Solanum lycopersicum: one gene and its partner. The protein of the gene in region 2 interacts with the protein of the main gene of each other region in a pairwise test. Links are inferred from orthologs where the notes say so. Each region holds a gene or a part of one and is shown on either strand. Other genes may lie near its edges.

The links.
Region 1: the proteins of ubiquitin carboxyl-terminal hydrolase 16 (region 2) and serine hydroxymethyltransferase, mitochondrial interact in binary tests that used the Arabidopsis thaliana proteins (3 or more experiments, as listed by UniProt). The link is inferred for Solanum lycopersicum from reciprocal best matches to the Arabidopsis thaliana genes UBP16 and SHM1.

The regions. Positions count from the first base shown.
Region 1 is NC_090801.1:69,138,352-69,142,189, reverse strand, and holds the start of serine hydroxymethyltransferase, mitochondrial, read right to left. Parts: upstream 2,970-3,838; 5' UTR 2,354-2,969; coding exon 2,264-2,353; intron 2,170-2,263; coding exon 2,119-2,169; intron 2,029-2,118; coding exon 1,942-2,028; intron 1,135-1,941; coding exon 1,013-1,134; intron 894-1,012; coding exon 817-893; intron 729-816; coding exon 604-728; intron 1-603. UniProt on the Arabidopsis thaliana protein: Functions in the photorespiratory pathway in catalyzing the interconversion of serine and glycine. Involved in controlling cell damage caused by abiotic stress, such as high light and salt and the hypersensitive defense response of plants.
Region 2 is NC_090803.1:62,984,461-62,987,916, forward strand, and holds the end of ubiquitin carboxyl-terminal hydrolase 16, read left to right. Parts: intron 1-28; coding exon 29-191; intron 192-283; coding exon 284-404; intron 405-494; coding exon 495-652; intron 653-1,117; coding exon 1,118-1,202; intron 1,203-1,313; coding exon 1,314-1,526; intron 1,527-1,872; coding exon 1,873-1,934; intron 1,935-2,012; coding exon 2,013-2,718; 3' UTR 2,719-2,928; downstream 2,929-3,456. UniProt on the Arabidopsis thaliana protein: Recognizes and hydrolyzes the peptide bond at the C-terminal Gly of ubiquitin. Involved in the processing of poly-ubiquitin precursors as well as that of ubiquitinated proteins.

The DNA of each region.
Region 1 (3,838 bases), on a different chromosome or scaffold from region 2:
CTAGAAAGAAGAAATCAAGGTTTTCCAAAAATAAGCTGACTCTAACTCCAGATCTGTATGGAATGTATGAACATAATTGGGACATGGACTCATATATGCATCAACTCACATGTGTTTTAACTTCATTTTTCTCAAATTTTACCAGCAATAACTTCCATTTTTAAGATCATGCGTGATTTTAAAGCAGAAAAGTTTGCTCTTCTAAAGCGGAAAAGCATACAGAACATTTTAACTATCAAAGATCAATGCAATATATAAAACAACCTGACAGAAATTGCATACAGCCATATTTAACAGCATTTCAGTTTAAATTGTCCTTTACTCACATATCAGATAAAATTTATGGGATGTTGGCCTTTGTCCGAGTGAAATTCCTCATCCACGAGAATGGTAAGGCAGAGGAACATAAGTAGTAAATGCACCTCATAGAAGCCCAGAAAACATTAATTGCCTATTACAAAGGACCCTAGAAGGATTACAGTATTTACACCACAAATACTAGTGCAAGCTTCTTAAGTGCCCACACTTTTTTAAGTAATGGTATTAGTTTGCAACAACAGAAACCAGTCATATACGACGAGAAACAACAAAATATAGAAGCACCTGATATCCATGAGAAAGATGTCCACCATGAGGAAGATCAAGAGCCATGATTCTCTCATGAGGTTTTAATAATGCAGTGTAAACATGAAAATTAGCGGGTGATCCTGATAGAGGCTGCACATTCACTGCAATAAGAAAAGGTTAATTGAGATGAGTACTTTTAGTTTCTAGCACTATTTAGACGATGAAACATAATAGAACAAAATTTATTACCTCCCCATTTTGCAGGATCCAACCTGAATGCTTCCAAAGCACGTTTCTGGCATAAGGTTTCTGCCATGTCTATGTACCTGGACAGCCACCCATTCTTCATAATGTTAAAATAAAATCTGAAGTTGATATATGACATGAAAATACAGGTTAATGACAAAAGTCTTAAGAGTTAAAAAATAGCAAATATTGTGCGTACTCATTTCCTCCATAGTATCTGGCACCAGGATATCCTTCACTGTACTTGTTAGTCATGACTGATCCAACTGCTTGCATCACCGAAACGGAAGTGAAATTTTCTGATGGAATGAGTTCGAGCCCCTAAAGAAAGCATTTTGAACTTAGGTAAGACATTTAACTTCCATAGCTAACTGCTTCTTCGCATCTTAAACAAAAGAAAGATAACTAGCAGAATGGATGCTATACGTGATAAGAAGAGTAAAAGAAATGAGACATACTATATAATTCTTAGCATTCAATGCTCTTAACAGGAGATTGATAAGTTAAATTAATTTCAGCAGTTGGAAGTTGGAACTCCCCATGAAGTAATCTGAAAGGCAGTTTTACTCAAAGGTGTAGTCTGGAGGACAATAAAGGGAGTCAAAACAATGGCATACCCGGAGCCAAATCCCAGCCGACACAAACAACACCAGGTAATTTTTCCCCATCTATCTAAGCCTTTGGGGGCAGAATATCCCCTGTTAGCTGTACCGACCCTAGGTAGCCAATATTTGGTGGAATAATTGAGGTGTGGGCAAACTCACATGGACATCACCGATACTAAATATATCTAAAAGATATTTCATATAGGCTTCTTTATTTTTTTTATGACAAGGGAACCCACAACCACTACACTTTGGATGCACATAGGGTAAACCATGCTCCAGTGTAATAGCCCGTAAATCACAGCAGAAAGTAAACCACACTAGATAAGCCTCGTGCGCCGAGAAAGCATGCAAGGTTTCATATAGACTTGTTTATTGAAACTGAAACATCAATGTTTGGCACAGGTTCCCAAGTATTACTAGTTAAATGTTCTAATTTGCTACAGTCTGAGCCTTAATTCCTTTGCGGTAAGCTTCAGTGAGTGAGAGATGGAAAGAAAAAGAAAAGAGAAGGCGATAGAACCTTCCATTGGCGTGCTTTCTCATGCTCAATAATGTCAGCAATCTCAGGATCAACAACCTCTAGTGGAGCATTCAGTTGCTTTGGCCACTGAAAGTATTCAGGATTTCAACTCAGAAATGAAAAGAACACAAGCAAAAGTTCAGATAACACATCTATTCCAATTCATCATGAACTTACAGCTACTCCGGATTTTTCCTTGTCGTATACAGCTTCATTAGGCAGTGATGACTGCAACAAACAACGCAAAGTAAATATAACTTAAAAGGAAAAGTAATACATAGTACTACTATAAATAATAAATAAACAAGTTATAAATACAAACCATGTAATAGATAGAGCCTCCATTGTAAAGACTCTTAACTGGCTTGTCAATTGTAGCAGAAAGCCTCCGAAGAGCTATTGCCATAGCCATTGCAGCTGTCCGCCTTTTGCACCAGCTAACACACAATTTCAAAGAGTTGTAGTGAATTTTTTTTTTTGTCTGGATTGGAGGATGATGTTTGGGTGGTGGTAGAAATTTGGATAAATTTTATGGTCGTTATGGCGCCACCTTACTCACATTCCATATCCATTTCTTTTTTACTCATGTTAAAAGTTACTCCATTAACTGCAAACCACATTATTTAAAATCTTAATCTAGCACATTATTGTTACTCATTACACAATCAATTCAAACTTAGCGATACTAGCATACTATAATATTCTTAAAAATAATATCATTTTTGTTCACTGAAGTGTAAAATTGGACCAGTAATTCGATTGTTTGTGGGGCATATCTCCCGTGGAAAATATTGTTACTTAGCGATCGTATTCTGCAATAGGAGCCATAAAAGCCCTATCCAACTTACAAGTTTCTTGACCACAAAAAGCGGCTCTCCAAGATTTAGGGTTACGGAATTTGGGGAAACCTTCATTATCGAAAATTTAATCTTTTCTTGGGTCACTGTACTCCCGCCGGTGACAATCCGTGGGTCCGATCGTCGCACGACGACGGAGGTTTTGAAAGGGAGACTGATAAGACCCTCTTTTTCATCTGGAATTATTTGGGCTTTTTTGTACTTACTTGTCCCGCCCCGTTATAAACTTACATGGGCTTACTGGTCTAAGAGGCAAACTTGGGCCTGACTTTTTATTTCTTTTCCATGTATGGACTAGCCACTTTTCGGACCAAATCCCACCTTTTAGTTTACTTATTATCATTATTTTCTATAAGTTTTATAAATTATCGAAATCTCTTAAATTTCTCTTTAAGTCAAAAATTTCATTAATGTATCTAACCCTCTTTTTAATGTATCAACGCATGTATCCGACCCTCTTTTTAATGTATCTGCGCTCTGATTTTTTTTCATTAATGTACATGGCGTATCTGACTCTCCATTAGTGTATCAGACCCTCCCTTTTATATATTCTATCCTCTTTTTAATGTATAAGCATTCAACGCTTATATTATTATATCTGTTTGAGGGATTTCTGTAATTATAAGCTTTTAAGTGATAGATTGTAATTTTGTCTTCAAAATATGTGATTTCTGTAATTTATTCATTTTTTACGAAAAAAACAACCTAATTATTTAAACATTTCTGTCATATTTATTAATTCTACCTATAATTTAAAATAGTTACATATAGTCTCACTAATTAATAAATGCATACCAGATTTCAAGTCAGATAACTGAAATACTTGTATTTTTGCTATCAAATGCACTCTGAAATATTGATACTTAGAGAACAGAGCGAGAGAAGAAAGAGGCAAGCGAGATAGGAAAAGGCGAACGAGAAAATAGGTGTATTCCGAATACATATGAATCACATTAAATACATGTATTTGATATTTACTATACATTTCAAAATACAAATATATAAAAAATAGGCGAGCAATAAAGTAATTATATCTTTGA
Region 2 (3,456 bases):
TTCCTCTCTTTATATGCTCTGCTATTAGGTGAAAAGAAAGGGTGGTGCTTCACATGCGAATTTGAAAGTTTAGTTCTAAAAGCAAAAGATGGGAACTCTCCCCTATCTCCTAGTAGTATAATTTCCCATCTCGAAAGCATCGGGAGCAATCTTGGTAATGGTAGAGAAGAAGACGCTCATGAATTTCTTAGGTATATTTTCTGAATCTGTGGAGGCTGTAGATGTGCAAGTATCTGTTGAACTTCTGAGTTAGTTGTTTATGTCTGTTTTCCTAACTCAACAGGTATGTTATCGACACAATGCAATCCATTTGCTTGAAGGGAGCTGGGGTTACTGCACCTGGCTCTTTTGAAGAAGAAACGAGTCTCATTGGGCTTACATTTGGGGGCTATCTCCGTTCAAAGGTAACTATTGACTTCTAATAGTTGTTAAATGTAAGCTTAATATTTCTTGAAAAAACTTCTGTACTGATTTCTGAAAAATTCAACTGGAAGATTGAGTGCATGAGGTGTGGGGGCAAATCTGAGAGGCAAGAAAGAATAATGGATCTTACTGTTGAAATAGACGGAGATATAGGCACCTTGGAAGAAGCTTTGAAACAATTTACTCATACTGAGACTCTAGATGGTGAAAACAAGTACCGATGTGGCAGGTTCGATCCAATTGTCCCATACTTAGTTATTTTGATGTGTTTTTATGTTATCCTCTGAATTTTTTTCCTTTATATTTCATTTGGGTCATCTCTCACTTTTCTTTTATTAGTGTGTCTAGATACTTTGTGTGCATTAATGTTTCGATTCGGTGTCTAATGGTAGTGTCATTCCTTTGAGTTAAACTGGGTTGATTAAAATTTCATTGATTTGTTTCTTTGTTTTTATCCATCTTGGAAAATACGATGCTATGCCCAAATCCTTCTCATCTCTCTCGATCTAGAGAAAAATGATTATACCAATTGCATTGTACATCTTCACTTCTAGAATCTTCAGTAGTGGCACAAACAGTATGAAATTTCTGTGCATTTGTAGTTTGTTTGGTTATGAGCAGATTGTTCGACTCTTCTGCATGCATGCCATTTTTGCAGCTCATTTTTGGACTAAACTTTTGCTGCATCTTTCAGATGTAAATCGTATGAGAAGGCTAAGAAAAAGTTAAAAGTGGTGGAGGCTCCTAATGTCCTCACAGTTGCATTGAAGAGATTTCAGGTACTGTTTTGAATGAAGTGTTGTCTCCTTCAGTTTTTGATATTGATTGAAGGAAATACTTCCTCGTATCTGCATTTTGTTTGCAATTGCTCACTGTCTGTAGTTTTGCAGTCAGGTAAATTTGGGAAGCTAAACAAGACAATCAAATTCCCTGAGTTTTTGAACCTGGCACCATATATGAGTGGGACAAGTGATAAGTCACCAGTTTATCAGCTGTATGGAGTTGTGGTTCACCTGGACGTAATGAATGCTGCATTTTCTGGTCACTATGTGTGTTACGTGAGGAACTTTCAGAACAAGTGGTATAAAGTTGATGATAGTTCGGTATGTCTCCTAAAGAACTTTTACTTATAATTCACATTTTAAAACTTATTTTACACCTCATTTTATCTTTCTGAATTTCATCCATTGATTGTATACTTTTCTCCCTTCACTTCTGGGCTTTGGGTATTGGTAAGCTTATGAGAAATTAGGCATTTGTTGTCACAAAGTGGTTGTTCCTTTCGGCTTAGAACTACTAAAAGTGCTCTTGATGTGCGTTAATGTGTTCTGTGATGATGAGACTGTGATACTCCATTTCCTCTCGATTCTGCTTCATGCATAGCACACAACATGATGTTTCTTCCATGGTCTTTTTGAGGTTTTGATGTGGTCTTTGTCATATTTGTAGGTTAAATCTGTGGAACTAGAAAGAGTCTTGTCGAAGGGAGCGTACATGCTTCTTTATTCAAGGTAAAATTATAGACGCATCTCCTTCTAGTTGAGGTATGCATTCGATTGTAGCTGACATTTTCTTTTTTCCTTTTTTAGGTGCTCGCCACGGGCCCCGAGGATAATGAGGAGTCTGACAATTCCTCGTGATCCAAGGAGATCAAAGCAACTGACTTGTAAATCAAGATCCCATACAAGAAGTCCATGGGACTCTTCACATGGCGATTCAACTAGTAAAACCTGCAACGGATGTTCTTATCCTAGTCATACAAGTGTGAGGCCTATTAGGTCTATATTTGAGGAGGACTCTTCGAGTGAACAATCATCTTTCTTCTCTGAGCTTGGTTCTTGCAGTACAGACAGCACTAACAGGGATTCAACGAGCACAGATGACTTAAATATTGATATATTTGGCGACTCTGGGGTCTGTTGGAATAGCCTCTGGAGGAGTTCATCTGATTCTGACACATCCTCATCCTCATCTTCTCCTTCCCCTCTGTACTCAAGGCATTCACCCCTTGCTGATTTGGACCGTTATGCTTCTGCTCGTGAAGAGACCAGCTGCAGCGGCAACCCAGAAACAGCTGGGGATGGTCAGGGTTTTTGGACAGGGTTACATGATCGTAACAGTTATACTGGCGTTCCAGAAACCCGCGGAAGGACACCACCTCTCTGTCCCAACCCAACTAAACATTGTAGAAAAGTAGTTAGTAGTCATAGTAGTAGTAATACCGACTCCAGTAGATTAGGTCGGGTTAACCCTTGTGACAAGTCGACATCTCCTGTAACTTGTAGAGATCGATGAGGGGAAAAGGTGCCTTCTGGACATCGGTGTTATAAAGTATTTTTGTATTCTAGAGGGAGGGAAATAAAAGAATTTGGGAGGCACAGGGGGTTTAGGGAGTGGTTGTATGTATTATATACATTGGCTATTAGCTGTGTTCAAAACAACAAGGAGGCCATAATTTTGTCACTCTCTTCCCCTTTAATATAATCTATTCTCCATTTCCTGTAATCCATTGTTTATCAAATGTAGACATACAAGATCTCCTCTACTATCATCCTCGTTCAACAACGCTCTCTAACAAAGGCGATTCTCAACATTGGTAATAATTATTTTAATACATGCATAACTCTATGCTACAAACAGAACATCCCCTAGGTGGGGACAAAAATTGTCAAAAGGGAAGAATAGATGGGAAGATTCCAGTTCAACTTCAGCAACTTTGGTTTGGTTCATCTCACATAGACAAATTTGTATTAAGGGGCCTACAAAAGAAGGTAGCAGAAGATTAAGATTTTTGACATGATGGGCCAAAGGGAATGGGATAGGAAGAGAAGAAAACAAACAAGCAACTTGGCTAAGCATTAATAATATATTGTCACCTACACACACAGTAAGTACTTTTGGGTTATATACTGCTCTACTTTGACCATATTTATTTATTTTTCCCACCACTTTTAACTTTTGTCTCCAATCTTAGCTAAATGTCAGAAACCACATTCTTTTCCAATTTAGAATTAACAGTGTTTAATAAATTCT